Struthio camelus: one gene and its partners. The main gene of each other region encodes a partner of the protein of the gene in region 4 in a complex. Links are inferred from orthologs where the notes say so. Each region holds a gene or a part of one and is shown on either strand. Other genes may lie near its edges.

Region 1 (6,428 bases), on a different chromosome or scaffold from region 4:
AACACTTAAACAAGAGACTTGAACTGGGTTTCATTTTGGGGTTATTTTTCAGACTACTTGGGAAAAAAAAACCCTGACTTTTATTTAATATTTAGACTGCAGTAGAAATCCAAATGGAAGAAATATGTTCATATACAAAAAAGAGCAGAGCTCTTCTAAGACAGGGCATGAAGGTGCGGTATGTATTATGTATTATGCATTTTCTGTTCTTGTACAATACTTGGCTTCAGAATTCTGGTAAGATAACTTAACACACTCTGATGGCACGTACTGTACACATAGTTGCTGAATTAACAAAGAGCAGAAATGCCTGCTAATGAAACACACCAATGTGCCTAAAATTAGTTATGAAGAATAACTGAATCAATTTAACTAATGCAAAAAAAAAAAAGATCTTAGGTCTTTGAGGCAGCTAGTGTCACTGTACTGATTCCGTACCTGCTGGAGGGGTTTCCAGGTTCATTCCTACAGTTTGGAGATGCTACAGCAATTCTGTATTCTGGAGATAGTTGCAGTATCAGTTGTGAGCTTGTACTGGACACCGTAGAGCATGCACATTTCAGAAAAGAGCTGAAACATGGCAGAAAGCATATTGTAGAATGCTATGCATGACAGCACCCACCATCCTTCTTCATTTTTCATTTGGAATCATTGTAGAAAGAAATGTTAGCAGTTCCCCATATGTTGGAAAGGGTCGTCCATGTGCCTTCTGCGAATCAGCCATCTTGCTACTAAGAATGAGACTGAAACCCTTTTTTCTTCCTTCATTAGTTGACATTTTATCTGCTATGTTTTGGCCACTACATACAGACTGGGAAAATGACTCAAGAAGATCACAGACATCGTGTGAAAAACAAGTGCTTGCTTGCCCACTGTCTCCTACTTTTTGAACTACTTTACAGCTTTGCTGCACAGTTCACAATACCAGGCAGTAGAGCATCAAGCTCAGCTTTTATTACAAGAATGTGAAATCAGTCTGGAAAGTCCAATAAAACCAAAGGTGCGTTAGTACCTCCTGATGGGTTTTCTCATGTACCACTGGAGGCGGTGCATTTTATCCCTTTTCTGTCTTTCACGGTATGATGTCACAAGGTGGTTTGAGACAAACTAACAGCTTGCTGCCACAGAAAGGAGAGCCATTCCTGTCATCATCTCCCCTACCTCTGCCGTTTCTGCTTCTACCCTTGTGGTCTCATCACTTACTTAAAAGCCAACACTGATGTTCACTGGATCGCACAGTGAATTGACTCTGCACTAGAAGAGTGGAAAACCTAATCCAGAAAAATGATAGTCATGTTTTCTATAGAGTTTGAATAAATGCCAGGACTGGCACAAAGTGGTGAGAAGAAAGAATTGCATCGCCAGAAGTGGGGGGGCTGAAGGAGCAGTGAGAGAGGAAAGGAGAGTCAGGGCAGGAAGAAAGAGTAGGGGAGGAAGGTGAGGGAATGAGACCTCCCCTTTCAAAAGCAGCAAACTGTTTATTAGCTCAGTTGTAGCTAATACGCAAGGGTCCCACACAAGGGTGTGAGGAACCACACCCTTGCTCTGTGTCTGAAAGCCATATTCTCAGTTCCATATTTATGTGCATTTGTAAGATCTGCATCTCCACCCTGGAGTACTTTCCCTTCTTGAAAATGATTATTTGTATGTATTGAAGTAGTGTTTAGAAACCTCTACCATGTAGAAAAAATTATAAGCCATCTAGGATCCCCCTGGCTGATAGTACAGGATTTTCTACTCCAAACTGTTTAGATTCTAAACTGACAGTATCTCTAGCTAGTGAAAGAAGTGAATTAGCACTAGTATTCTGACTGAATATAAATGAAGACTAAAGGTCTCTTAAATCTTCCTGCCGACCCCTAAGACCTTGTGGTTTAATCTGGAGAGTGTGAATGACTGGTCCGTGTCATACAACAAATCTGTGGCAGGGCAGACTACCAGAGTCCCAGTTCCATGCCTAAGATGAAGCACTCCTTCAACCTGTGGAGACCCTGGGTTCCGTAACTGTGGCAGGAGAATGGGAACTGGTGGCAGCTTTTTAATCCTCTTTATTAATTTGTTTATTTTTAAAATCTTGATTGTCGAAAAAATTTAAGTATACAATATTTATCTTGAACTCTCCTACATGTCAGAGGGATGGCTACCCTAGATAGCGTGGTGGTGAGGAAATGCTGAAAATAAAAAACAGGACAGCCAAACCACCTTATCCTGTCCTGTTTCTTCTGCGTTGTTGCCTACATGGCTTCCCATTAAGATATTTATTTGCAAAGAATAAAAGCTTTCTGTACGCAATCTCCTGAGACTGAACAATCCATTCAGCACTTACACTATTCAGTGCTTGTGACATTTCAGACTCATTATGGATGTGTTTCTGAAAAGAACACTAGATTAATTCACATCTTCAGGCACCACACAATCCTCAATGTAAGGACCTTTGTCTCACTTTTTAAGTAGAACTATTAGTATCAAGGCAGAGAATGTGAAAATATCACTTATGTTGGCATCATCTAGCAGTCTAAAGACTCTAAGAATAGAGATTGTGCCCAAATCAATTTACCACCAGTTTTCCCTAAATCAAAGTTGTAAGTCATTGCCAAATGGCAAGGATAACCTCCTTTGGACAACATGCATAAATTGTGGTCTAGCTATGCAACGAAAATAAATCCTTGAGCCTATTCTTTAAAACATGATATAGGATATATATATATATATACAAGAATGTGAAATCAGTCTGGAAAGTCCAATAAAACCAAAGGTGCGTTAGTACCTCCTGATGGGTTTTCTCACGTACCGCTGGAGGCGGTGCATTTTATCCCTTTTCTGTCTTTCAGGGCATGATGTCACAAGGTGGTTTGAGACAAACTAACAGCTTGCTGCCACAAGCTGTTAGTGGATATGTATATATGGATAAATACGAAGCTATAATTACATTGATGACACCAATCTGTGAATAAAGAGAAAAGAGTTAGCAGGACAAACCTTTAACTAAGTAATGATCAGATAAGAACCTAAGCAACATAACATAACATTACCATGGTAAGTACAGCACCACCAAAGAATAAGGCCATCAAACTTCACAACGGCAGACATCTTCAGCAAGTTCACTGAATGCCATCCTCCTTTGCTGTGTGACCAAATATGTTGTTTTATTGTGCTTGTCACTCAGTCACCTGAGAACAAATGTCAGCTTACTTTCCTCCCCAAAATATACCCTGCTTACAAACGAAAATAGGTCAGTTTATTTTGCAGTTGGGGTTGCATTCATTGTCAGTCCTGCCTCAAATATAAAGGGTTGTGTCATCTGGAATATTTAGCGAGCAAAATGTGAGCTGTAAATATTTGTCAGGTTTTCTAGTCAAACAAACTCAATTATTGTGGAGTTTTACGCATTAGTTTACAAATAATTAACAGGATCCACGGTAATTACCTTTCAATCAAAAGAATTTCTTTGCAAAATGATGGTTTCACAAAGTCAATCTGTAAACGGTACTGCACAGGTACACCACGGGTCCCTGCCAGACAAAGCTTATTGCTGCCCTCTGCTGAGGAAGAGACAACATAGGACCTAAACGGCTTAAGTGTCAAAAATCCTCCCGTGTGGCCATTTCGGGCAGGGATGCCCGCCGAAGCGATGCCAGCAAACCCAGCCACCCACGCTCCGCAACGTGGAACGCTTAAACCCACACCGCTATCTTCAGCTCGGCCTAAAACAAAAACGAAGCTACAGGACAACGACAGAGCCCCGGCGTTCATTAGAGTCTGTATGCGCTGAGGTTTAGCGTATCCAGCTACAGGAGCGACGCAGATAAAAGCATTTTGCAAGGTGCCCCCTGGATTTCACGACCAACGCCCACGGTCCCAATGCGCGGCAGCATTAAACAGTACACGAGCGCTGCCCAACTCCGTGGGTAATCATATTTGCGGATCCCTACGCCAGGATGTTTCTCAGCCGCAGGGGAATGAGGATCACCACCAAACGCCTGTCCCCGAACGCTACCCTCGGCCACGGCGACGCCTCCAGAGGGGGCTCGGGGGCCCGAGGAGGCCAGGCCGCCGCCCGCCTCGGGGCAGGCCTCACCGCCTCGGCCCCACAGCGCCCCAGGGGCGGCGTCTGCTGCGGGACCGTTGGGGACGTGCGCTCCGCGTGGGCCCGCGCACGGCGCTGCCCCGGGCACGGCAGCGGCTACACAGGGCCTGAGCGGGCGGCGACCGCAGAGCCCCGCCACGACACACCCCCTCCCCCTCAGCCACCGGCCGCCCCGCCTCCGCCGCGTAGCCGCTGGCCCCGCCTCCCGAAGGAGCCAGCGCGCTGAGTGGGGCAAGCTCCTGACAGGCGTGTGGGAAGACCAATCAGAGCGCGGCGCAGCGAGCGGGACGAGCCTAACGAGGGAAGGGGAGGGGGCAGCGCGCCGGAAGCGGGTGCCGGAGGCGGTGGCGGCGGCGTTGAGGGGAGCGACGGCGGCGACGGCGGTTAGGTGAGCGCGGATGTCTCCTGCGGGCGCTGCCCGCCCCCGGCAGCCGTGGGCCGGGCCCGGCCCTGCCGTAGCGCGCCAGGCCGCTCGCCGCTCCCCTGGCCTCAGCGGCGGCCTGTCGGCCCTCCTCGGATATCCCTGCCCCGCGCGGCCGGCCCCGGGCAGGCGCTCGGCTCCGCCGGGGGCTCGTTGGCGCGGCCCCCCGAGGGTCTCCGGCCTGGGAGCGTGTCGTGGGGGCGAGCTAACGGGTGGTGTCCGGGAGCTGCCGGGCCTTCCGCCTCCGAGGGGCCTCTTCCTCCGGTGCTTTTCTCACAGCCGTCTCTTTTACAGCGTTTCTGGTGTCCGTCTGCCGTGCAGGTCGTTAAGCGTGTGTTTCTTGGGGCGTTCCCGAGGTGTTTTCGTCTAGCAAAATGGGCGAACCTCAGCAAGTGAGTGCTCTTCCTCCGCCACCAATGCAATATATAAAAGAATATACAGATGAAAACATCCGTAAAGGTCTGGCCCCAAAGCCACCTCCACCTGTGAAAGACAGTTACATGATGTTTGGTAATCAGTTTCAGTGTGACGATCTAATTATTCGACCCTTGGAAAGCCAAGGTATTGAGCGATTGCATCCTGTGCAGTTTGATCACAAGAAGGAGTTAAGGAAGCTTAATATGTCTATCCTGGTCAACTTCTTGGACCTGCTGGATATCTTGATAAGGAGTCCAGGAAGCATAAAGCGAGAAGAGAAACTGGAAGACTTAAAACTGCTTTTTGTTCACGTCCATCATCTTATAAACGAGTATCGTCCTCACCAAGCTAGGGAGACACTGAGGGTCATGATGGAGGTGCAGAAACGTCAGCGTTTGGAAACAGCAGAGCGATTTCAGAAGCATTTAGAGCGAGTTGTAGAGATGATTCAGAACTGCCTGGCCTCCCTGCCTGATGATCTGCCTCACTCGGAGGGAGGATTGAGAGTGAAAGCAGAACCCATGGATACTGATGATGGCAACAACTGTGTTGGACAGAGTGAAAAACAGAGGGAACGTTCAGGTTGCAAGAGAGATCAGGTTTTAGACAAAGATGCAGCGATGTGTAGCATTATTGATGAAATGACATGAAGAAAACACTGTTTATTAGCTCATCATAGCAAGGGGCAGAATGGATTCTAAGGCTATATGTTACACTTTAATTTACTGTTGTACAAGCAAACAAAGCATTGATTTTATGCGTGATGGGAAGGATTATGAAAGACTAAGCAGATGGAAATGTTCAATATGTTATGTAATCTGTGTGTTTATTCATAAGAACCAAAATGTATAGTTGTTAAAAGCATCATGTGAAGTGGAAGCAACAGATTAAAAGCCTTTTTTTGGTGTACTTTGATGTAATTTGTCACTTGCTGCTTTTTTGGGTATATTCTGTTTGTTACTTGCCGTGAAGTGTGGAAGCAAGTAAGGGATCAGACAGAGGAATTGCAGTTGATGGTTTTTCCATTTCAAAGAGGCTTTAGTTGCTTACACTTTCAGTGGATCTTTTCTAAAATACATATTTCAATATTAAAAGTAAAGTCAGTGTCAAGTCTGCCAAATCCCTTCATCTAACTTTATGCAAATGTAATTGTACAAAAGGACCTAAAATTACTTCACTAGGGATGTAGCGTGTCACAATCTCCTATGGAAAGAGGGAGTGAGAGAGGCTTACGCTGTCAGGAATTTTGGGAATGAAATGGGTTAAAAATAATTAGATTTTAATTTTCTTAGATGTAAGTTATAACCAAGCGTGAGATTACAAAAATGCCCACATATACGTCCTCTTTTGTAGTTTGAAATGAGGAAGTGGTCTCCTTAACCTGCCCATCCTGTCAGGGAAATCTTAAATCTTTCTTTTTGGTGTGCAATATTGTAGTATATATGTTTTCCAAACTCTGTGTACAGCAGCTAAAAAACTGCAGTAAACTTCAGGGGTGAGGGA
Region 2 (8,155 bases), on a different chromosome or scaffold from region 4:
ACAGATCACTGCAGAGTCCCACAGAACAAGGTCTAAAACGCCTTTCAGGAGTACTTAGTCAGTCTAAGGACAACCACAGTGTGCTTCTCACTGCTCCTGCTACTCGGAAATTCCTGCTTTACTGCTGCCAGTCCCCAGCTGCTGCCAGTCCCTTGGCATTGCCCAGACAAATGATTTCCTGTATGCTGCAGGGACAGAGAGAGAGAGAGATTCACAGAGCATCTCTTTCATGACAGCATCAAGATAGCATTCAGGTCCCCCTACACATGTATGTATGCCTATATATGTGTGTACATACGGATATACACACTTATATACTTACATCCCTCTAGGCACACCTTTGCCTAGCACAATGCCATATATAGAGAGAGAAAGAGAGAGACACACACACATACACACACACATATATATGCACATATATATGCACATATACCAAGAGATGCCTAGAAAGGAACTACAGTTGTTATACTTTCAATGATTTGCTCATTGAATACGTTCACAATTCCTACGCTAAATTCTGCTGAATGGAGCCTTTTCCTTCATTATTGGTGATGGCTTTGTTGGCTGCCTTGCAGAGATCTTTACTTGTGGCTCTGAAAACAGCCTCTCAGTTCAGACAGATGCAGCTGAGGGAGATGTCTGAAGTGGTGGACGGAGCCGGAGAGAGTTTGCCCACTCTGAGGAGGACCCCTAGGGAGCAAGTGGCCTGCTCTTCACACAGTACACTGCTTGCAGACAGCCAAGGCATGCTTACATCTTAGAACAAATTGGTTTTGTCAGACCAAGCAAAAATAGTCTGCATGTGCTCGCAGGTCTTGACAACCATGAGCACCGAGCACAGTCTTCCTCACAGGATAAGCCAGGAGTTACTTCACCTTGCCAAGGCAGTGCCCTGTAGGAGCGCTTCTTGCTCCCACTGTGACCAGCGACAGAAACTCTGCTAACTTTTGTGGGTGCAGGAATTGGCCTGAGCCACCGGCTGCGGCTCCCGGGGGAATGGGAAGGCCATGAGGCAGCAGCTCTCCCGGGAGGGTTGCCAGCTGCCAGCTGTCTTTCTGTCTAGTGGCTCGGCAGCCTTTTTCCGACCCACATTCAGCCCTGACAATTAGGCTTGCAGGATGAATAAATACATATGCTTGCTCATCTATGTATAAGAGTGTATGCATACATATATGCCTCTATATTAGGAGGGAAAGGAAATAACCTCCAAAATGCTGGATCTAGATTCTGCCTTGTAAGAGTCTCCATCAGGGATAACTAAGTTAGATGTTGATTTTGCAGTGGAGGGTATGGAAGTGGGCAAGGCATTCAGGAGTGACTTACTTAACCCTTCCGGGGCCGGGGCATAGTCCCAGGCGGCGAGCGCTATGGGGTCCGGCCCATGGCTGTCGACCCTCCTGCGTGCTTCGGACCTTGGCACGGCTGACACACAGAGGAAGAGGGAGCTCACGTTGCCCCAGTTTACACCGGGACCACACAGTCACTGAAGTTAATGGAATTGCCCCTGTACTGAATTGGCATAAGCAGTATGAAAATCAACCCTGCGACCGTTATTGCCAGGTAATCTTGAATTTGTGTACAGGACTGGTTAACTGCTGTACAACCTCATTGATCTGTGCAGATGGTGAGGTGTCCGAGAGATTTAATTCCTCGGACTTGATTTATAAATTCATTATAAACTAACAGCAATTTAACATCAAAGCTACCAGTAAACTATAAAATATCTTGGTAGTCCTCCAGCAGCTTTTCCACACAGCATGCCAGCATTGGCTAACCCTTTTGTTTACCTATAGACCCTCGACTGCTGTCGCTGACCAAGTTTCAAGCTCTCCTTTTCACATGCCTCAGTCTGTGAGTCAACGTATAGCACTCCTGTATTCACAGCGTCCTACCACCTTGCCTTGTGCTATGTCACTACTCTAAAAATGTCTGAAACTTGTCACAACCCAAGTGTTAATGACCTCTTTCCTTATGTTCTTCCCGCCTCCCCGCCCCCAAACACACACAGAAATTTTGAGCTAGCTTTTAGGAAAAGTGTGATAGAAATATAGATACTTGGACTGTAACAGCATGAGTCACAGCAACCTTATTCTGGGTCCCTAGGTGGCTGTGTGCTTCTGCTGATTCTACTGGTATTCAGCTACGTTCCCTTCAGCCGTTATAAATAGGCAGTTTTTTCACTGGTCTCACTGCAAAAATCAGGTATACTTCCCCTAGTGGTAGTACTGCTTGAAGAAACGGAGAGGCATCCGCCCTCCCTCTCTCTCGGACCTTATCCTCCACCCTCTTTGTGCTGTTATGTAGGTACAGGGATCTACAACTCCTGGTTTGATGCTGTCTTCCCAACTGTATACAGCAGAGGACATCTCAGATCCCATTTAAAAGTGGGGAGCCCTGTTTCATGTATCATCACAATAAAGAACATGAAAAGGAAGCAAAGGATTTAGGCCCAGATTCTCCCTAAACGACTTCAGACGTTTGCCTGCATAGCTGCTCCCCAGCACAGAGCAAGCAGAGTCCTGCAACTCTGGGAATGGGTAAGATAAAGGGAAATTTAAGTGCAGTGGGGACAACACAAGAGAAATAAGTGGCTTTAGTTATTTACTTATCATCCATAAAGCAGTTTTATTTAACCTGCTATTTCAAAGTGCAGCTATTACTTATCAGTTACTGTCAAATAGGATCTGTAGCACCAAGCCAATTCAAGAAACACTGTCTTATGAGAGAGGGCTCAGTCCTCTAAAGCACAGGACTTCTTTCAAGTGCCTGACCACGGACTGTAGTTATGCACAGAAAGAAGCTTATGTGCAAAACTAGCTAGTTTCTAAAACTGGAAAACCCACCATGCTTAAACTGAGTAGGTGAGGGTTCTGTTCTTTCAGTTTTCCCATTTTTAGGACAGAAGCAGTCAAATGGTAACAAGCTGTCTTTTATGATCATACCCTGCTGTCACACAAGAGTTTGCTTAGCCTTTAAAATAAATTAAAGAAGGTTCAGGGTTATTCCAGCACGTGCTGTCCTTTTCAGCATACCCTCTGAGCTTGTGCGAACAGAAACAAGGGCCAGTAATGCACTGCCGGCACTGTCTGGACCAACCTTTATAATGTCCATCTCTAGACACACGAGAAATTGGGAGCAGACTAGTACAGAATCCAGACACCACAAGAACACCATGCAGGAAAGCGTTTTTTTTAAAAGGAAGAATTTCAAAGAGCTACTGCCACCCTTTCAGTGACTTGTCTATCTGGGGAAGTTAGAGCATCACAAACTAAGGTATGCAGGGTAAACCCTTTTTAGGCAAAGTAAATCTTTCGCGTCCAGAATGTGCCGTGAGGCAACCACGCCATATCAAGGGATGCTTGCTAAGTATTTAATTGTGACAGAATGCATTTTGGTTCCACTAAGCCGTTTTTGAAAGCAAGGTGCGGTGATTCTACTGAATTTCAAAACAGAGACTCCATATCTAGTCATTAGCAGCGTTGAACTATATGTCAAAATAAAGATGGAGAATTTTGTCAAGGATGGTGTAGGAAACGCAAAGAAACTCGCATTGTTCTGTTTCACACATCACGTAAATAGGTACCTCTGAGTATCCATTTTGGCGCTCTCCAGTGTTACATAATGGCTGTGCTCCTCTGCTTTCCACAGAAATAGCATTCTTTCTTTGTATAAACGGTACCTCTGAATTTTACTAACAACGTCGTTGCTTGTGCCATCCTGAAGATGTAAGTGTTTGCAATACTGAATCTGGAATGTATTCTGTATAAACTGGCCATTGACCAACAGCCTTTTAAGAGTCTCCGCAGAGCGAGTTAGCATGGAATTAGCCAGCGCGCTGTAGATTCAAACCTTACCTGACTATTATTCCCTCCCCATTTAGGCAAACTGTATGGTATTTTTTATTGCTAGAGCAGCAACAGAAACTTTTGTGCAACTGTGAATCTGGCACAGGAGAGGTAAGTTATTAAGAAACAATAAATACAGGCTAGCGCAATGCTATTTCAGAGGCTCACTTTTCAAGGCTAAGCCACCAGAATGCAACTACGTGTAACTGTAAAATCAATTATAATGGACGTATTGTCTCTGGAGAATTGCTCCCCACACTGCAAGTCTTCAGAGTGCCATAAGCGGTGATTTGCATCAAGGATTGGTTGGGGAGCAGGCTCCCTTGTAATAGAAGTCCTGCCGTTAAAAGACGAATAATCAAGTTCTAAAACACCAGAGAATGAAACCGGGAGTTTCTTTACAACGGACGCTTTTTGCCTCGGTAGGTTTTCTTCATTCTTGGGGGAATCGGCGGGGCCAAGAGCCTCGGCGACTTGGGCCGGTCGGCGGAGACGAAGCCTGGGCCAGGGGCCGCCGGCCGGGCCGAGCCCCGGTGGCGCGGGGCGCCTCCTCGCCTTGGGGTCGCCTTCCAGCAACGCGCGCGGGGCGCGGGGCGCCTTCCCGCTGTCTGCAGCCTCTCCATGTGGGGAGGAAGAAGGGGGAAAACCTGAGGAAAGAGCACCTTGGTCGGGGCTTTGCTTGGCTGGGAAGGGTCCTTAGGGGTGATGGCGAGGACGAACGTTTGGGCCTTGCCATCTGGTGAAGACTCTCCCCTCCTCCCCCCACCCCCGGCTTGGTAGTTTCGTGACAGCGCAGAAGATGACACATGCAACCAAACGGTGAATAAGTGCATTTTGGCAATGAAGGTCACGACGGTGGCTCCTCACAGGCCCCAAATCCCGCCGCCGCCCGTCAGCAACCAGGGCTCGGCGCCGCCGGGAGGAGGCGGCGCGGGCGAGGGGCAGCGGCGGGGCAGGGCGGGCGGCGGCGGCCCCCTCCCCCGAGGCGGGCCGGGGGGCAGGCAGGGCGCCGGGCCGCCGCCAAGGCCAACGCCGCTGGCGCCCGGGGCCCTGCCGCGGCCGGGCGGAACCTGCGTGCAGGGGAACGGCTTCCCTGCGCCGCGTGTTGCCGGTCGGCGGCGGCGGCGGCGGCGGCGGCGGCCGCCTCCTTCCTGCTGCCGGCGCGGGGGAGGCGGCGCGGCGCGGCGGGGCCGGCGGGATCGCGGGCCCGGGGCGCCTCCGCTCTCCTCCTCCTCCTCATGGCCGGGAACTTCTGGCAGAGCTCGCACTAGTGGGTAACCGGGCCGCTGGGGGGCTGCGGGCCGGGCGGGCGGCTGCGCCGGGCCGGCTTTGTTCGCCGCGGCCGGGGCCGGGGCCGGGGCGTAGGGGAGTGCGGGGCCGGGCGGTGCTGAGCGCCCACGCAAACCGGGGTGTATCGCTGCCGAGAGGGCTAGTATAATAGCGGTGAATAATTTAAGGAGGGTAATGGCCATAGCAATCAGTAGAAATAGGGCCGTTTAAATGGCTCGGGAGGGCCTTTTGCCGTATCTGGGGCCTCTTCGGGGCGCGGAGGAGGCCACCCGTGCCCCGCAGAAGCAGCGTTTGTGTCCGCGTGGGCCTGGTGCCCAGTGCGCGGCCCCCGCTGCTGCGAGCGAGGAGCGCCGAGGTCTTGCGGGCCGGTGTCTGTCTGCAGCGCTAGGGCGGCCAGGGTTGCGCTGTGGCAAGGTGCCTTGTGCTGGGTAGGTTGAGTTTTGAATGGATGCCCGAGGTGCACTAAATATAGCTTAAAATTCACAAGTGATTGGTAGCGCACGTCTTAATGCCGTTCACTGTGTTGCGGTTTAGTTTGCTGCGGGTAAGGAGTGATCTTCTTGGTCCCTGCTAGTGTTTTTTTTTTTTTTTTTTTGGATATCTACCTTGGGAAAAGCTAGTGAGTATTTGCTTGGGAAGAACGTACACGGTTTGTTTAAAGGCCGCGTGCCCTTTAGGCCTAAGCTGTAGTCTGTTGTCGTTTGTACAGGCGATGCTTAATATGATGTTCATAAAGAGTTGCTAAAATTATTTTCTCTCTCTTTAGTTTACAATGGATTTTGGATAAACAAGATCTATTGAAGGAACGCCAAAAAGACTTGAAATTTCTTACTGAAGAAGAATATTGGAAACTACAGATATTTTTTACTAATGGTAAAACTGTTTTATTTTTAGTTCAGCCATGTAATCTATATAGTATTTGCCGTGTCTTCGTGCAAGTTTTAACTGCTTAGAGAATGCAATGTTTTCATTGTTGTATTACATATGTTTTCCTAACATATTTTAATGAAGGGCTGGAATATCAATAGCGTTGTCATTCAGATTAGTTGTATTAATGCATCTTTAGGATAATTTATAGATGAATTAGCTGCGTATGTCTTTTTTTTCTAATTTATGAGAGGACAAATAGTAGATTTTTTTATTTCCAAGAGGCTCTTATGAAAAAAATAAAAGGAGAGGAAGCCAACAGAAACTACTGAAGTAGCAAATTGGAGACACTGTGTTAAGCAGTAGTACTCAAACTGTGGGCCTTGAGCTTTTTTGATGAGCTCTTAAGTCATAGTGTTTTAGCTGGTCCATGGAGTCTTGCTAAATAGCTTGCAAACTTGTCAGTTGTGTTCAGTTACGCTCTTTGAAACCCGCTCCACAGCCTGTGGCCTCATGACTGGTTCCCCAGCACTCAGTGGCTCTCAAGTGGCTGGATACTTTCTACAAGACTGAGAGCTGTCAGCAGCCTGTTCTCCTAGAGAGTTTCGGGCTTGTCTCTGCGCAGTTATCTGAGACTAGGTCCTAGAAACCATTTGACCATATGAATAGCTTTATTGGCGGAAATCAGATTGGTCAAACATACTTGAGGCAGAAAAGTTAAGTGGCTTTCCCAAGGCTATTGAAAGATCTTATGTTGGTGATGGATTATAACTGAAAAATACTTATCCCAGCCTCTCTCTTAGCTTAGCTTTTTTTGTAATGATCAAGTATGATGCAAATCTGATCACTGTTTTTAGGTCTGTGTTCACTTGTACAGCACCAGAAAATCAAGCAACCAATGATTTATCTATTTGATTGATTTCTGAAGTTTATTGAGGATAAAACAAGGTATCTTAGCTTCATAATGCCAAAAGAATAAATGGGATAGTGACAGTTCTTAAATGATATTTCTATGTTAATTTTCACTAGTATTAATTTGAATTATGAAACATAAAATACCTTTTGCCATTTTTCATGTTTCATTTCAGTATTTTTATTGAGTAAACAAAGGTTTAGAAAGTAGACGAGTCGGTTTCACTTTGTGGTTGACAAGCTCCTTTTCCTCTGGCACTCCTTGCCTCTCCTGAGGGTACATTGCATGGCCCGTGGCAGCTGGAGCATAGCTCTGCGAGCATCTCCCTTGTGCGTGGACCAACACAGCATACCCTGGAGGAGAGAGTGGCACTGGGCTGTCAACCCTTCTGTGGCAGAGAGAGGCACCTTCACGGAGGGGACAGCCTGGAGCTCCTGTGTAGCAGTGGGAGCTCATGCAGTGCTTGCTTTGCTCGAGCCCTCAATATGTGTTATATCTCGCCACCTGCCCCCAAATTCAGCACTCGGCTTTGAACGTAAAGAGCTTTTTTCCCTCTTTTCTCCCACCCCTGCATTAGCTATGACCGTGGCTTGCCACGTTCAACCTGCGTCTGCCTCCAGGAGACAGTCTCTCCCCAAAGCAACCAGGAAATTACCTGGAGAAAAGCAGCTTCCTGCTTTGTCCGCATTTGAAAATGGTTGCTGTAGGTCACCGACTGGTTGTATGACTATATACGACTACTTGAACTGTTAAAACTGTAGAGAAGGAAAATTGTCATCTTCTGAAATAGTTCAAAGGAGGAAATTCATGCTGACTTTTCTGTTTGGATCACAGAGTTTTTAATAGAGGTTTTGGCTGAAAAGCCAATTAATTGATTTCCCTTTTTGACTGAGTGCAGGAGTCGTAATGTTTGTGTTACAGGCTACTCAAAAAACATTTGAATTTAAAGCAACGTTTTTTAAAAAAAAATCTGAAACCCTTTATTTTGTAAATATAAGGGCATAAATAATACAACAGTTTCTTTTAAAATACTTCAAAAATTAATTACAAGTATTGGAATTTTTGCTCAGCATGTACAAGCTTCCATTTCATTAAGTCTCTCTAGGCCCCTTGTCAATTTTTTTCCATAAACTCACTTGATTTCTTTCTGACAGCAGATGGCCTTATCGTTCCTGAAAATCCCATGGGAGTGAGAAGCCTATTTGGAGAATTCTGTTTGGCTTAATACTTGGATTTTTCT
Region 3 (7,881 bases), on a different chromosome or scaffold from region 4:
GAAAGCTAACTAAAACGTTAACCTTTGGCAACGCCTTCCCCTCAAATAAAACAGTTTAAGCTAAAGAACCACCATACATTCTTGACCTCACTGATAGAGGAGATTAGTTACTAGAAAGCTATGTATTTTTAGAAAATATTTCACACAAGAAGATGCAGAAGAAACAGTGGTGTCTAGCTATCATCTCTCTACAGACCGTCTACAACTGATGGAATAAATAAGCTGAAATCATCAATTTATGATGTGCTAAACAAACTCAAATCCCCTACAGCAACCAATCACAGACACCACAACAGAGCTCTGGATTCTCTGCGCTTTGAGGATACTGCTCCTTCTTAAACAAGCCGAATGTTTGTGGGGAAAAAACATTATTTAAAAATAGACAAGGAGAGTCACAGCAGATTATAACTGTTTCAGAAGCATAATTCTGCAGTCAAGAACATTACTTTTTGACTCAAACCCAAAACAACGCCTGAGATAAAAATTTAACATTCAATTCTAATAGCAGAATCAGTTTAAATACAGCTTTGCAATCCACCTCGTTCCTAAAGAACGGACGATTCCCCGTTAACAGTTGATTAGTTTGTGCATGTTTTTGTTCTGTTGCATTGAAAAAGTAAGTAATCAGCAAGAGCGTCTTTAATTAGTAATCCAGACTACCGTAGCTTTAACACATGGTAAGTTTTGAGACAAGTATGACAATTTGAGGTTAAAGGGTCAATGCTTCTGACCAGATATTTCCAATCAGTATTTCCTTTCTCAATACGGTGAGACTTTCATTGATAAATATGGCCTAATGAATACTAATGCTATTGGAAATAAATCACCCTAATAATTACTGTGTTTGTATATACGTGCTTATATAAAAATATTATTTCATCAGTTATTTTTTGCAAGTAGAGCCAGAAAAGAATAAAACTATTATAGTTTCGTACATAGCACCACTTCACAGGTATGGTTAGTTCCCACAAAATTACATGGGAGATTTAGGGTTGCAGATTAGACCTATTACTAAAACACTTTCAAAAGAACTCTGCAAAATTTATTTCACCAATATTACAGGTGCATTTAAAAATTTTCAATGTTTCCTCAGCCTAGTACGGTGAAATAAAACAGAATAGATAGATGCAACCACAATAACCATGAAATAACTTAATGTTATAATTTATGCTAATTGAGCACCAACATTATTTCACCAGTGACAGATTTGTGGATTGCAACTACATGAAAAGTTATGCTTCTCGAAAACATGCTAATCAATTTTCCATGAATTAATAGGGATTGCACAATTTGATTTTTTTTGTGAAAGAGTAACTATCCATTATCTTGCTCTTGCAATCAGATACAACCATCTCCCTCATGCTTATCATTTTATTTTTCTTAGTGTGTAAGACCAGTGTATTCAAAAAAAATCACCATTACAATTCCTGCAGCATTCTTATATACTTCTAAATATCAGAAAACACTATCACAAACAGAAACGTAAATATGAGCCTAAATAATGTCTAACTGTTCAATAAAAAGCCAAAATAAGAATTTTATTTATTCTCACAGAAGAATCTCCAGGCCAGCTTCCTAGCAGAACACACAGGCATAGACTACGGCCCTTGTCCCAGATACTTAACAGATACAAGCCACATAAAAAACACACACATACAAATTAAAGAAAACAGAGGCAGAAGAATGATAGGCCATCACACAGCAAAAAGACTGATCATCTGCATTTTCAATTCACTTTCTTTTTTCCTTAATTCTTATAAATGCAATAACAGTCATTTCCTTTCTTTTGAAAAAAAAAATCAAATATATGTATCTACCTTCAATTCTTACAGAGCACTGGGGAGGGCAAAGGGTTTTATCCACCACAAATCTTTCATACATTTATCCCCAAACTTACACTGCAAGTTTTTGTTTTAACTATACTATAACACGCATTAAAAAAATCCCTCCTTCCCCTAGACATTGGCCCTAGCAGCACTAGAAGACTGTTGGTGATCTAACAGTCTTGTCACTCGCTGATCTGTTGTCCGCTCTGAAGGGATAAGGTTGCTGCAGGTGGCCGGTAAAATAAAGCAAGACATTTCCAAGTGACATTGCCTTTATACAAAAACTAATGGTTTTCTTGTTTTAAATTCATACAGACCCTGTAGCTAGTCACAACTGATACCACGATTTTTGTAAAATTATACCATGCAATGCAAGTACAAGTTGTCAGTTACCAACCAGAGGGGATGACAGCACCTAGATCATCAAGCTATCCAGCATACTACATTTTCAGCTACCGTTTTTCTTCTGAAAACAAAAAATTAAAAGCTTCTTTTTTTTTTTTTTAAATCTCTTGTCCCCAACCACAACCTGTTCAAAGAAGGGTCAAAACAGCTGGCATCTAGTCAGGAGAGCCCAGAGGTAAGTCCGAGAGGCAGTCACGCTACGCAAACTGTTCGCTGCTGCTGAAATGGCGTTTGCCATTATGAAAGAAGAAGAGGGGAGGAAAAAAAAAAAACCCACAGTTTGGTAGGCACAAAGCACCAGGGCACGGAGTGCCAAGGGAGGCGGGGAGAAAAGACTGTTTACCAGAGAAGATGGTCGCACATGCCGGGCACACACGCAGACACGCAGGCACTCCCGCAGCCCGGCGAACGCAGCTGTGCGAGGAACACACGCACACTCGCGGCAAGCCACGTTAAAGAGCAAAATAAACACGGGGCGCCGAGCCGGGGGAGGGGCCAGCGCAGGAGCAGCCCCACGGGCCCCGACTATAAAGCCCCCGGCAGCTGCACCCAGCCGGCAAACTTGCCGCGCCGCCCACCCCTGCGGGGGCTCACGCAGGCACTCACCAGCGAGAAGAGGTTGGAGTGACAGTCCTCCAGGCTGGCCCCGTTCGCCACCCAGTTCGCCGCTGCAGTCATGATCCTCGGCGAGCCCGGCCGCCAGAGCGGGGCATGTCTGAGGAGACGGGCCCGGCAGGCAGGGAGAAGCACCGGCCACTCCGCGACGCAGCCCGCTCCTGCGGTCGCCGGGCCGGCAGCCGCTGTCCTGCCCCCGGCCGCGGCCGGCAGGGGGCGCCGGGCGGGCGGGGGGGGGGGGGGGGGCGGACGGCGCCCCGGCGGCGGGCGGGCGGGCGCCGAGGCGGCGGCGGCCGCGCTCCTCCTCAGCCGGCCCCCGCCAAACGGTGCTCGGGGCGGGCGGCGCGGCCCGGCAGGGGCCCCCGCGGGCCGGCTACGCGGCCGCTCCGCTCCCGGCCGCTCGGCGCCGCGCGGGGCGACGCCTCCTGCGCTGCTCCAGGCCGCCGCGGCACCGCCGGGCGGAGGAGGAGGAGGAGAAGGGGGGGGGCGCCCGGGGCCCCGCTTCCGTGTCCAGGTCGGGCCCCCCCCCGCTCAGGGCGCACGTTGCGGTGAAGGGGGGGCGAGGGCGGCGGCCCCCCCGCGGCGGCGGCCCCTACCGCGCACGGGCCGGGCGGGCGGGCGGGCGGCGGGGGAGGGTCGCGGGCCCCGGGCGGCGGCGGCGGCCGCGGGGGGGGCGCTGTCTCGCGGGCCGGCGGAGGCCGTGTCCCCTCCCTCCCTCCCCGCCCGGCCGCCCCTCGCTGCTGCCGCCGCTGGCTGCGGGTGGATGGTGTTTTCCTCCTCCTCCTCCTCCTCCTCCTGCTGCTGCTGTTGCCGCCGCCGCCGCCTTGTTTACGCTCCGTGCGGGGCCCCCGGCGCTGCGGGCGGCGGGCGGCAGCCGCGGCCCGGAGAGGGAGCACTGTCCCTGCCCGTCTTCGCCACCCTCCGCCTGGCGCTGCCCGCCCAGCGGCCCCGCTCACCAGCTCCTCCTCACACACTCGCCTCTGCCTCTCGCCACTCTGACAGCAATGGCGGCCGCCAGGCGCAGCGCGCCTCGCCATTGGCCGCCGCCGCCCCACGTGACGCGCGCCGGAGGGCGGGGGCCCGGCGCTGGGGCTCCCTCCCGCGGCCCCTCCCTCACCCCGCCGCGGCGCCCGCCGGGCCGCTGGGGGCGCGCGGGAGCGCGAGCGCGAGCGGGAGCGGGAGCGCGAGCGCGGCGCCGCCGCCGGTGCGGGGGGAGGGGGGAGGGGGCGGGCGCCGCCGCCGCCGCCGCCCTCGACGCCTCGCGACCCCGCGAACCTCGCGGCGTCCCCGCGCGGCGCCTGCCCTGAGCGGCCGTGGGGGGGGGCGGGGGGGGGTCCGGGCCGCGCCCCCCCCCAACCCCGCGGTGCCTCGGCCGTGCGGCTCCCGCCGGGTCCTTGCGCCGCAGGGGGCCGGGGAATGCTCAGAGGAGTTTTAAGACAGGAGCTGGAGGGCTGGCAGGTGGCCGGGGCGGCCCCCGGGCAGGTCCCCTCCTAAAAGCCCGGCCCGACCCTCCAAGCCGAACCGCGGCGCGCGAGTCCCCCAAGAAAGCGGAGCAGCTCCGCGCCCTTGTTCAGCCCGAATACAGGCATCGTGTGCGGTTCATTCTGCAAGGGTGGCAGAAACAAATGAAATAATTAACTGAAATAACGCCTTCTGGGGAAGAAGAAAGGTTAGGCACGACACAACTAGCAAATCACAAATAACTGAAAGTTTCGTTTAACACACAATTCGTAACAACTGATTTTTTTAATTAACGTCCATAACGACCCTTTGATGCTCACCAGCAGGAGCCCGGTTTGCTCACGCAGATCACAGCTCGCGTGTCTCGACTTCTCACCCGCAACCGGACCGCGTCACGGGCCATGCAGTGCAAATAGCACCGTTGGAAAGATGGTTTGTTTAGCAATTCACTTTAATACAGATTCGTAACACGTTTTCAGTCACTTGATTCAGTGGAAAAATTTTTCTCGCCATGCTTAGAGAGCAGCTTTCCTTGCGATATTTTATCTTATTTAGGCATCTTTTTGGCAACTTACTTTTCTTTGCAATAAATTAAAAAGATTAGCATCTGTTGTAATGACGGGATGGAGTTTGTCCGGACTTACCTCACAGCGACAGACCTCTAACACAAACAGGCGTCACAGCCGCTTAGCTGCGTTACGTGCGCGGAGCGACAGGCTTTGGGCCGGCGGAAGGTTCCCGCCGCGACCGGGGCTCTGCGGGCGCGTGCTCCTCCTCGGGCGAGGCCGGCCGACTTCGTCGCCTTCACTTCGTTGCTGCACCCCGCAGAAATTCTGCCTTGCAAACACTGGGCCTATATTAGTGGGAGGAAAAGTGTTTTCCAACAAATTATTTGAATACCACATTTTGTCACAATTGCTTTTTTCAGAAAGAAAAAAACACTAATTAGGTGGCCAAACAAACCCTGGAGTCACCCGAGGGGGGGACTTTTATCCTCCTTCAGTCACCTAGGAACATCAGGTGGCACAGAAACGTTGTGAAAGCCCCAAACTGGTAAGGGGCAAAGCTAAGGAGACAAACTGCCATAACCTGGAAATTGCTCGCTGTAGTTTGGCCCGGCCATCACGGTTCTCTACACGAACGCACGTTTCCTTCGGGATCGTTAAGCAATCCAGAATCAGGAGAACTCAGGACCATCTTACTCCACTTTCTCTTGGCTCCAGGTCTCATAAACACAGGACACAGTCTGGCACTTGTAAACGCGTCAAGTAACACACAGTAACCAACAAAGTCTAAAAACGACAGCTTTTCATATTAAAACAATATAGTTCTTTGTAAATACACCGCAGCATCAGTTATCCGTCCTGTCACCAAATAATACCTAGGGTGCAACAAACGCCTTATAAAAAGTATCCTATTTCTGGAGTAAAAGGACATCCCTCATCATGAAATAAGTAGCATTTTCTTATTTGAGAAATACTTTTAAACTGAGTATCACATGATTACTTGCCCCAGAGAAAGCTAATAATACCGCTTAGAATGGGACACGGCAGAGGAGGGGGTTCATGTTTCTGCCATGTGCTGCTCTCTCTCTCTCCAAACGGTATATGCAGGTGTCAGAATTCCTCTTCCGGATCTTCCGGGTAGAGATTATTAATTACACCTGATTTTCTCATGATCTTAAGACAACCACACGCTGGGGCCTAACATATGATTCAGATCCGTCTTCACAGGGAGAAACGTTAATATACTCACGTTATTGCTGCCTTGGCCGTTTTTCAGGATTCTTAACAAAACTTACCAACTCTTACACTAAAAATATTTCCGTGTGATAAAGCTACCTTTATTGGGTGAATATTTTGAAGTTACAGAGTTGCTGCTAGCATTTCTGAATGGCTATTGGTTAGAAGATTGTGACCAGGTCTTTGCATTGCAAAGCTCAATTTGGTTTTAAACTGAAAAAAAAAAAAAAAAAAAGCTAGCAGCTCTTCAGATGGTTTGCCAGTTACTTGATTTTATACTATGTTTTAGTTATAGGTGCAGGAAATCATTACAGTCTGATCATTCACTTCACCGTACCAATCTAGGAAAGTTCCCTCGCTGTATTCTGACAATAGCGTTACTTAAAACAGAAATCGTTCCACTTAACAGATATCGTATTCAAGTACAAGTGACACTTGCTCATGCATAATTGTCCTACATGGTATGTGGTGGAACGTGTTTCCCAACTCAGGCTATTCGAGTTTTATTCCCTGTTTTCTTTTGCTGCTCTTTAAAAATTGATCAATGAACATGAACAATAACATTGGATTTTTTGCTTTAACCAAACACCCATTTTTCTAAAATAGCAAGATATACAAACTTTTGCAAGTAGCTCTGCCAACATATTAACCTGCTAGCTGCAAGACCAAAACTCAGAAGTGGCAAGGAGTTTCCAGGCTCCTGGAAACCAGCTGTATCACACTTGGTCTTCGCCATAGAGACGTGATGAGCACCCTGGGAAGAAGCCAGTTACTCGCCCTTAGAGACCCCTTCCAACATTAGAGTCCCAACACTGATACACAAGATTATTTTGTCCAGAGCTTACAGTAATGATCCAACCTGTTCTCCCAGGAGGATGGCTCAGCAGTTTCATAGACGTTGTTTGTACCAGCAGGTGTTGCTTATGCTTCAAACTAAACATGGAGGAAGAAATAAAGTTGTCAGGAGGCTAAAGCAAAGCTAAAATGACAAGTAATTGCATGGTTTTATTTTGCCTTAAAGCACGTCAACTTTGCAGTATTTTCACAAACTTGCAACAGGAATATTTACTTGAGGAATACAACTGGCCTGAGCACTACATCCAGGCAGGGCTCTCCCACCTCCGGTCGCGCAGTTTGGTCCTTCCAACACCAGCAGTCGAACTGCAGTCCAGCCAACTTTGGTAAGCGTCAAAAGCAGCAGCGTTTGACTTTTCGGGTCAGGGATAGCTCATTTCCAGCTAAAAGAAAGGCTTAGAAGCCTGAGTTATAAGAATGTCCCCCGCCTACAATTGTTATTTCCAAAAAAAATTATTGTCGGCAAGGGCAATGCCCACGCTTTTTTATGAAAATATGTTCAAGAGCTAGGTGAAATACAACAGTGGTGGCTGTACTGCTGCTTCTGTCTAATTCTACATCTCAATTTATTTCTTCATATCCTTTTCCAAGTTTCAGAGAACTTTGACTCATTTTTAACATCCAGGTTTTACAAAGGTAAAATGACTACAAATTACTTCAAAGAGTAGGGCAATTAAATTTATAGGAGAAAAATGATCTTGTATTTCCCTAATCAAATTTTGTTTTTTAAATTTATCTTTATTAATGTATAAAACTAAGGAGTCTGCTAACCTAAGTCACACTTAAAAAAAAAAAAGATTTGTGAACTTTTCGGTATTAAAAGGTTTATTTTCATTTTATTTATATTTGTGTTTATTTTTTCAACCTCCAGGAGCATGAAAGTCTGAGCTTGCTCAGTATGACTGAAGGACTTGTGAAAAGTTTCAGGTAAATTGTGATCATTTTTAGTCTATAGCTGAATGAGCTGCCTTTAAGAA
Region 4 (8,360 bases):
GGACTGAGACAGCAATTTCTCACTGCAGCAGAGGGAGTGAGGAGCTTACAAATAAAGGACAAGTCTAGTGCCTGTACATTTAACTCCATGCAAACAGCACTACCCATGCAATGCTGATATAAGCAAATGCAGGTAGGCCTCTCCTGTGCCTTCTATGAAAAACGTCCCCCAGGCAAAGCATGACATTTGTATAATTACACATGTGAGGAACCTACAGAGATCACAGGCCCCTCGTGTCCAGAAGGCTCTGGCAGTTTCACCCTGTAATAAGCTATCAATCCATTTTTACTTCTAATTCAGAGAACGGGTAAGAAACCGTCCCCTGCAAAGCTCGATGATCTGAGCTGGGGAAAAAAAAAAGATTAGAACAAACTACATTTTTGTTCTGCACAAATGGGAAGAGCCGATGGCTGTGAGCAAAAACCTGACCGTGATCATTGTAATTTGCTGGATGCCTTAAATTCAGGCACCTGTTGACAACGATACAGCCGAGGCAACTTCAAAAGTAAAAAAAGTTTCAGTCTCTGCCCTTCCCGTAGGGCCTCCCACCTCCACCCTATCCTATGGCAGGATTTGCCAGTCCCTCTGGCCTGGTAGTGCGTCCCTTTCCTCCATTTGCATAGAAGAAGTTGCAGGGTAGCTGAATATGAGAGAACTAACTGCAGCAAGCAGGAATGCATACAAAGCACTGCAAAAACACCAGCTGGGCACACTGGAAAAGATATTTCCTTCCTGCAAGTCGCTTGCTCTTCCGGGACTGATGGATAGACTTAATATTCAGAGGTATAAATATTTTTCAGCTAGAAGATGAGATTTACACCACTCTGGATATGCAAGTGCCAGAGGTCATCGCTAGTCTCTTGTCCACGTGATTTTGAGACTTTTTTTTTTCCTGCCTTGAGCCCAAATTCTACAAGCTAATACTAAAGGACTAAATAACCTCAACCAGGCCAGCAATGTCTTGACTACAAGAAGAGTGGCCATAGATATTGTTCATTTACGTGAGCAGTGCAGTATCACAATCCAATTTTTTCATTCCTTGTTTCCAAGATCGGGGGATGATCTTGATGAGACATCTACAGACAGCCTGAATCCCTATGAAGTCTTGCTTTACTTTTCACCTCAAGCTGTATTTTATACTGCTATTAATAACTTACTGATACCTATATCCTTGACTAATAAAAACATCTACCACAGATTTTAAGGAGTATTTGAAACTCTACAGGCTGTTTATTCAGCTTCATGGTCAGTTTTTATGGTAACAAGGAAGTATTTTCATTCAAGATTGTAACAAGGGCCAACAGAATATTCACAGCTATTTATAGATTAATGATACAATTCTAATCACCTTTCCCACCATCTTCTTCAGATAGAAAGCAGTCCTAGAAAGAAATCATAGAGTCTGTCCCATGACATCAAAGGAGTCAGGTTGCTTTACTATATAATAATCTCGGACAAGGGAAATGTTCATGTCAGTCCTTCTCCTAAACGCTTACTGCTTCTGCTTTCCTCAGAGTTCATTTTTCATGACTAGATCCCACAAAGTTCTCTTACAAACTCCTTAGTCGTTCCTTCTCCAGACCTGCACTACTGTTCCTCTCGTTGTCAGCCCACCACAGAGGGGCCTCAGAGCGCAGATCTCCAGTGAGCCAAAAAATCCCCAATGACCTCTGCCCTCCTCACCTGTGGTTTAGGTTCATACTGCTGCTGGAGCATCTTGGCCACTTTGTTCTCAAAAGCGCATAGCTGCGCGTACACTTGGTGCAGAAAGGCCTCTTGCTTCGTCTCATCCAGCTGACAGCCCTGGAATAGTACCTGGCCCAGGGATACACAAGGCAACCATTAAGTTAGGGGGTCAGAGTACCGGCCCCCTTAACAGCACACGGGAACGCAGTTCTCACCGGGGCTGTCGGGCATCTCCCTGACAAAGTACAGGTAACGCACAGGCCTCTTCCTGCGTGAGGCCAAATGCATGCATGCAGGGACGTTTCGTGGCATCTGCAGCACACTCTGCAGCAGATGCCTACAGCATTCTCTTGGAATCTCGTTCATAAGCAAGAGCTTTCTACTTCTTTTGCCTTCTTCTTGCAGTGGTCAGGAGAAAGCAGTGTGGAATCCTTGTTAAAAGCCTTTAACTCTGATGTGACATTTCCAAAGAAGGCCTGTTTTTTTTTAATCTAACTCACCTATAGACTGATCCAATTATCTTCCAGTAAGTGGATGGAAAAAGGAACAGTTCGTTGAAATAAAGACAATAAAAAATTTAATCGGATGTTACAGAAGAGGCTAAGTGATGTGACAGAGGGACACTGTCAACACAGAAACTCCCCAAGCTGATAGGCAGGACGCTCGGGCATCGTGCAGACTATCTCTGCCCAGACCCAGGTATCACAGAACACGGAGGCAAACGGGATGCAATGTGCAGACAAAGCGTTCAACAGAAGGCAAGGACGCTCCTTGTTATCATGCCATCCCCTCACCCTAAGGTGAGCACATAGTGACATGGGAAAAATAAACAATTACAACAGATATAGGCTTTCTTGGATGAGTTACACACATATGTGCCTTTTCCTCCACAAAAGGAACACACAGCTTTTTCAGTTATGTCCAGAGATGACAGTTACTGGCCTCACACAAGAAATAAGATTTTAGAACAGATCCAAAGAATAAGAAATTACCAACTTTGCAGTACTCAATTCAGTGTAAGTAGGGGAAATACTGAGGCAAAGCATGGTGATGTCTGAAGGACACCTGGACAAGATTACACACAAAATATCATGGCAAATAGGGAAATTCCTGCTAAGCATACTTTCATAGCACCTAAAAACTGACCAAGGTGAGGGCCACGCTCTTCAAGCACTGTACAGACCATTAAAGCTTGCAGCCTGCACAGAAGGCTTGGGAAGAGGTGGACCAAGGAAGGGAGAGGGAGGGAACAGGTCTATGTTGAACAGCATCATCTGGTTACCACACAATTTCTGTGGTATGACCAATGGCATGAAACACACCATCAGAAACGGGAAAATGATGTGAAACTACTGCGAGGTTGAGGGGACCGATACAAGAAGAATAAACTTCAAAAACCCCTACTGGCACTATAAACCAGAACCTGCTCTGTCTCAAGTAACTGTGAGGTTACTGGGGCTAGGCTGCTCTCTCCAGCAAGGAGAAACATACTCACACTGGTACAAAAAGAGAGCAAGGTTTGTAGGAAGAGGTAATCATCTTTGAATAAATCACTGCTACACAGTTGGAGCAGGCAGACAAGCTTTTGGGCATACCACCTCCTCTTGCATGTTTCAAGTTAATTACAACAGGCCAAAGAAATTAGTCAGCAAAACAATTTAAACAGGGGAAAAAAAAGCATTAGACATAACATGAGGGAAATATTAATTACAATCTATCTCTGAGAACATGCCTACAGGCAGCGTTCTCTGCTAGGCCCTGCTCCCCCATGAGAAACCTCTGCTTCCAGCCCAGAAAAGCTGCTCATGTGCATTCCCCCCATTGCACCAGGCTGCACGTTTGAATGAAACAAGTCTACAACAATATCTTTAACAAAGCCCAGCTAACACATGTCCCACTTCCCTTTGTGTTCACGGGCAACCAATAAAGCAAGCTGCTCACGTGCTGAGATGCGCCAAGGGAGAGACTGAATTTTACCTGATGGGACTGCAGGCCAATGATGGAGGAATATGCCTGGATGGTCACAAAGATCTCTGGCTGGTAAATAATGTCCGAACCAGGGATACGAAAGGGTCTTAACAACCCCACTAAGCATCGGGAAAGAGCGTGAAACACTTCGTCAAAAATTATCTCCCCTGTTGAGTCATCCTACAGAAACAGAGAAAAGAAACTTAGCTTCTTCATCTGCCAGGACTTTCAATCTCATTGACAGCCGCCGCACCACACAAAGCTAACAAAAAACATCCTTCTGTAACAGCAGCTGGTAAGCAAAGGCCACACATGGAGCATCCAGCAGAGACACAGGATCTGCCAGTAAGCTGACCAGCTAGGAGCATTTCATGCCTCACTCCTGGGAAAACAAGTGCTCTGCAAAAGCTAAGACTGACATAGAAAGGAACGAGCCTTCTCAGCAGAGAGAAACGAGTCCAACCTTTCAACAAAGGGCACCCCAAGAAGATAGTTTCTGCACTTACCACAATCCCCGTGGAAGGGCTCAGGTCAAGTTCAATCACAAAGCGGTACTGGCGGGCCAGGAAGGTGACCCGTGTTGAGGGCACTAGGAGATAGGGCCTAGGCTGGACAGGCTCGTCTGGCTGCCATCCATTAGGCAAGATGCTGAGAACATCCAGTTCGTTTTCCGACTTCACCTACATGAAAAGGTGAATGGTAAGTGAGAGAACATTAAGACAAGCCACATGTATCAAAGCAAGAATCAGAATAAAGAATAGGGTTAAAACCTTCTGCAGGGCCTGGCTGCTCATGAGTAGCGCAGAGCCCAGAGCCAGCTGGCCACGTCAGGATGTGGCAAGACCAACCAGCCCAGGGCACCAACTCACCAGCTCCGGCTCAGGCACAGCCCAGATGACCTGATGGAGTCGGCTGAGGACCCAAGCAAGGCGCACGTTGCGGGAGATGCGATAGTCTTTCTTCATCAGGAGGAAGACATGCCCTGCTTCCTCCACCTGCAGCGTGTGGGAGCATGGCAAGCCCCCTGGTCACCCCAGGAGTCAGCCAGCCCCCCAGAAGAGGGAAGAGGCTGGCACTGGCTGGGGCTGGCCACCACAGACCTCACCAGCACCTCCTTAGTTGGCCTTTGCCAGCATCGCTCATCTGCCCCCACATCCACCCCAAGACGTGCCTCAGCCCCTCGCCTTTCCCCCACCTGCACCAGCCCCCACGTTCCCTCACAGACCCAGCCAGCCCCATCGCTCCTAACCACGGCCCTGCCCCCCCCATATCCCCTGTTACCCCCCACCTCAGCCCTGCCCCCCAAAACCCGTTACCCCCCACCTCGGCTCTTCCCCCCCATATCCCAGTTACCCTCCCACCTTGGCCCTGCCCCCCCCAACACCCCTGTTACCCCCCACCTCGGCCCTGCCCCCCCAACACCCCTGTTGCCCCCCCACCTCGGCGATACCCCCCACACCCCAATTACCCCCCCCTTCAGGCCTGACCCCCCTCCGTCCCGGCCCGCCCCCACCTCCGCGTCGGCCCGCTCGGAGGCCGCCATGTCCGGCCGCAGGCCCCGCCCCGCCCCGCGCCCTCTGACCCCGCCCTCCGCCCGCCCCGCCCTTCCCGCGCTGCGCGCCCTGACCCGGAAGCGAAGCTCTCCCGTGGCAACGGCCGCGGTGCCGCCATGCAGGTGAGGGGCGTCGGGCTCGGCCCGGCTGCCGCCGCCGGCAGCGGGGGGGCTCTGAGGGCGCCGCAGGCCCGAGGCGAGGGCGAAGGCGAAGGGGCGCGGGGCTGCGGCTGCTCGGGCCCGGCCGGCCGGCGGCCGCCCGCGGCTCCCGGGCCTCGGCTCTGCGCAGGCCCGAGCGCAGCGTGTGTAGGCCGCGCTGGGCCTCGGCTCCCCTGCGCCCCGGAGAGGTGCAAGCAGCCAGGCAGAGTCGGCAACGCTGGCCCCGACCTCTGTCAAAGGCGCCTGCCCGGCGGCACCTGCCGGGCCGCGTCGCTGCTCGGCTGCTTGCAGGGATGGGGTCGCGCCGAGCGGCCCGGCGGGCGGGCAGCAGCTCTTCGCCGCAGGCCAGCCGTGATGCGCCTCTTTGGGAGCTTGGCCTTGCCCTCGAGCTGTTGTCCAGTGCTTTCCTGTGCAGCAACCTCCTTTTGCTGCACACGCGTAGACTGAGTATGTGTATAGATAACTGAGTCTCTTGTTCCCTCTCAGCAGCCGGTGCAGCCTTTGGTGAGAGTGGCTGCACCGGATCAGGCCAAAGGTCTGTGTCCCCCCCCCCCCCCCATCGTGTTTTTGACACTAGCCAAGAAGTAGGTGCCCGGGAAAAATGGTGAGAGCAGAGTATGCTTGAGGGCTGTTCTGTGCAGACTATTGCTAAAGGGTCCCATGTATTTAATAGCTTTTGATAAACTTTCGTCCATGGAAGAAGGATCCAGTTACTTACTGAACCTTGGGGAATTGTTAGCGTCCATAATGTCCGATGGAAAGGAGTTGCACAGGTTAATGGCAGGTTAACAGGCTGTGAAGAATTGCCTCCTTTGGTTTGTTTGAGCCTGCTACCTCCTGCTTTAATTCAAGTTTCCTAATTGTCATGCCAGAAAAGAAGGTGAAAATGGATTGTCATGCAATTCCTCGTGTACTGATGTTTGTTATATTGTCTCTCCTTCTCTTTTCTGCCGCTCACACAAACTGGTCTCTTTTCTATGTTCGACTGCTATGCCTGTAGAAGCTGACGTATGTCTTCGATCATCCTTGTTGCCTTTCTTTGTACGTACTCCTACTATATCCTTTCTGAGATAGAGGGACAACAGTTACAAACAACAGTCACGATGAAAACGAGGCATATGTTTATACAGTGATATAATGATGCTTAGTTTTATGTTCCTTTTCTAATAAATCCTATTATTGTTTTTGTTTCCTTGACTGATTCTTGAGCCTTGGGCTGATTGTTTTTGGAGGATACTCCAAAGATCTTGGTTTTTGAGTGACAATGTTATCAGTTCAGAGAATGTCATTGTTTATGAGGAGCTAGATTCCTTTTTTGTTTGTTCTGCCACGTGCATTGCTTTATGTTTACCTACACTGAATTTAACCTTTACCTCCCAGTCACTCAGTATCAGGAGGTCCTTCAGCAATCTCTCCTATAAGCCCTCTCTTTGCTACCTTGGGATAATCTAGTATTGTATAACAAACTCCTTAAAGCACTGCTTGAATATATTGTGTGCCTGCAATAGGTACAGAACTTCTTGGAAGTACTGATCTTAAGCACTGGTGAAGCCTGTACACATTACATCTGCTTCCTGCTCTTAACGGCTTTGGAGGAGGCGCTGCTGTGAGAACAATGTGTGGGCAATATGGTTGCATTCGTCTTCTTGAGGGCCTCTTGGATAAGCACAGGCCATAGGCTGCATGAATTGCCTTAGATGCATATGCCTGGCACCTCTGCAATAAACACTGGCTACCTGCCCAACTTGTAATACAGTCATTGATTAATTCTCTTGCACAAGCATAGTGCACACAACGAGTTGTAGACTCATTTCTTAATTGCACAGAAACTGCCCATCTCCATCACAAGATGGAGGAGAGCTATAGTGCTTTAATCTTCAGATGCAACACCCAGCAATCTGCTTCGAGGACTAGGGATCAGATTCTACCAAAGTTGACTCAGCCTTTTTTTTGAAGGTGGTTAAGTGAAGTGAAGTCTGGTCAGTGTTTTCTAAAGATACCTTTTATTTTCTTACCAGTTTATAAATTAAATAGAAAAATCTCATGTTCTCATGGATATAGAAGATACCTGATAATCTCTTCAATGAAGCTCATGCTAGTCCAGTTCATTTAAACAGAACAACATAAACAAACAAACCCCATAGCAAGCATGCAAACAGAATGATTCACCCTCTGTGCTTTCCCAATTGGCATTCCCTTTCTATTATTTGATTGTAATGTCCCACCCTCCAGGTGGATTATTACTGTACAGCGCTTGACTTATATTAGCAGTTTATTAGGGCTGGAACTTCAATTGTATTTTGTGCAACTCTTCTGTTGTATGAATATATAAGAACAGAAAAGATTCTAGAGAGTTTTTGCAAGAGGGTTTTTGTCTCGGTATCTTTGGCAACAGATTCCTTATCCTCTGATTTTTTGCTTGTGGCCATCCTACTTCACCCAGGGATGTTGGTGGAAAAGGAATTTAATCAGTGCAGTTCAGGCAAAAGGCAGGAGGTGACCTGCATGTGTGTCCAGGTTCTGTATGATCCCTATTACAGCAGTGCCTCCCACAACTGGTAAGGCACAAGTAAAATGGGAACTCCTAATTTCTCTAGCAGCTAGAAATGGCACTTGGGCAGGAAGAAGGTAAAGAATGAGATGAAGGGTAGAAACTGGAGTCTTTAGGCCACGGACCCGATGCTTATTTTGCACACGGCTGCTTTGGATGAAGACATTACTGTATCCACATTTGCTAGCAGAAGGAGTTGAGTGAATGCTAATTACCTTGAGCTGGGCTAGCTTAAACAGCTCACAGAAGTGGCATGAGCTAACTCTGATGACACTGTCTGAGGTGGTAAAAAGAAAATGCAAGTGATAATGTCTTCATTGTGCTCATCTGGATCTTAATGAGGGCAGGCAGCTGAGGCTTTGTCTCATGCACAAGTCTCTTGCCTGAGTGCTCTTACTCAAGAAGAGGTCAGTGTGACGATACAGGATTTTTATCTCCAGGGTC

Evidence for each region.
Region 1: MED8 (region 4) and MED7 share a complex: the UniProt entries of both Homo sapiens proteins name them as parts of the mediator complex. The link is inferred for Struthio camelus from reciprocal best matches to the Homo sapiens genes MED8 and MED7.
Region 2: MED8 (region 4) and CCNC share a complex: the UniProt entries of both Homo sapiens proteins name them as parts of the mediator complex. The link is inferred for Struthio camelus from reciprocal best matches to the Homo sapiens genes MED8 and CCNC.
Region 3: MED8 (region 4) and MED13L share a complex: the UniProt entries of both Homo sapiens proteins name them as parts of the mediator complex. The link is inferred for Struthio camelus from reciprocal best matches to the Homo sapiens genes MED8 and MED13L.

The regions. Positions count from the first base shown.
Region 1 is NC_090954.1:11,289,875-11,296,302, forward strand, and holds MED7 (mediator of RNA polymerase II transcription subunit 7), read left to right. Parts: upstream 1-4,362; 5' UTR 4,363-4,475; intron 4,476-4,802; 5' UTR 4,803-4,882; coding exon 4,883-5,575; 3' UTR 5,576-5,840; downstream 5,841-6,428. UniProt on the Homo sapiens protein: Component of the Mediator complex, a coactivator involved in the regulated transcription of nearly all RNA polymerase II-dependent genes.
Region 2 is NC_090944.1:54,823,135-54,831,289, reverse strand, and holds the start of CCNC (cyclin-C), read left to right. Parts: upstream 1-4,901; 5' UTR 4,902-5,083; coding exon 5,084-5,115; exon of another isoform or gene 5,116-5,119; intron 5,120-5,901; coding exon 5,902-6,008; intron 6,009-8,155. UniProt on the Homo sapiens protein: Component of the Mediator complex, a coactivator involved in regulated gene transcription of nearly all RNA polymerase II-dependent genes.
Region 3 is NC_090958.1:5,771,477-5,779,357, reverse strand, and holds the start of MED13L (mediator of RNA polymerase II transcription subunit 13-like), read right to left. Parts: upstream 3,046-7,881; 5' UTR 2,910-3,045; coding exon 2,838-2,909; intron 2,593-2,837; exon of another isoform or gene 2,575-2,592; intron 1-2,574. UniProt on the Homo sapiens protein: Component of the Mediator complex, a coactivator involved in the regulated transcription of nearly all RNA polymerase II-dependent genes.
Region 4 is NC_090949.1:25,439,397-25,447,756, reverse strand, and holds the start of MED8 (mediator of RNA polymerase II transcription subunit 8), read left to right. Parts: upstream 1-5,230; 5' UTR 5,231-5,323; coding exon 5,324-5,329; intron 5,330-8,360. Other genes in the region: KICSTOR complex protein SZT2, read right to left, coding at 1,684-1,815, 3,664-3,834, 4,161-4,334, 4,524-4,649, 5,168-5,197. UniProt on the Homo sapiens protein: Component of the Mediator complex, a coactivator involved in the regulated transcription of nearly all RNA polymerase II-dependent genes.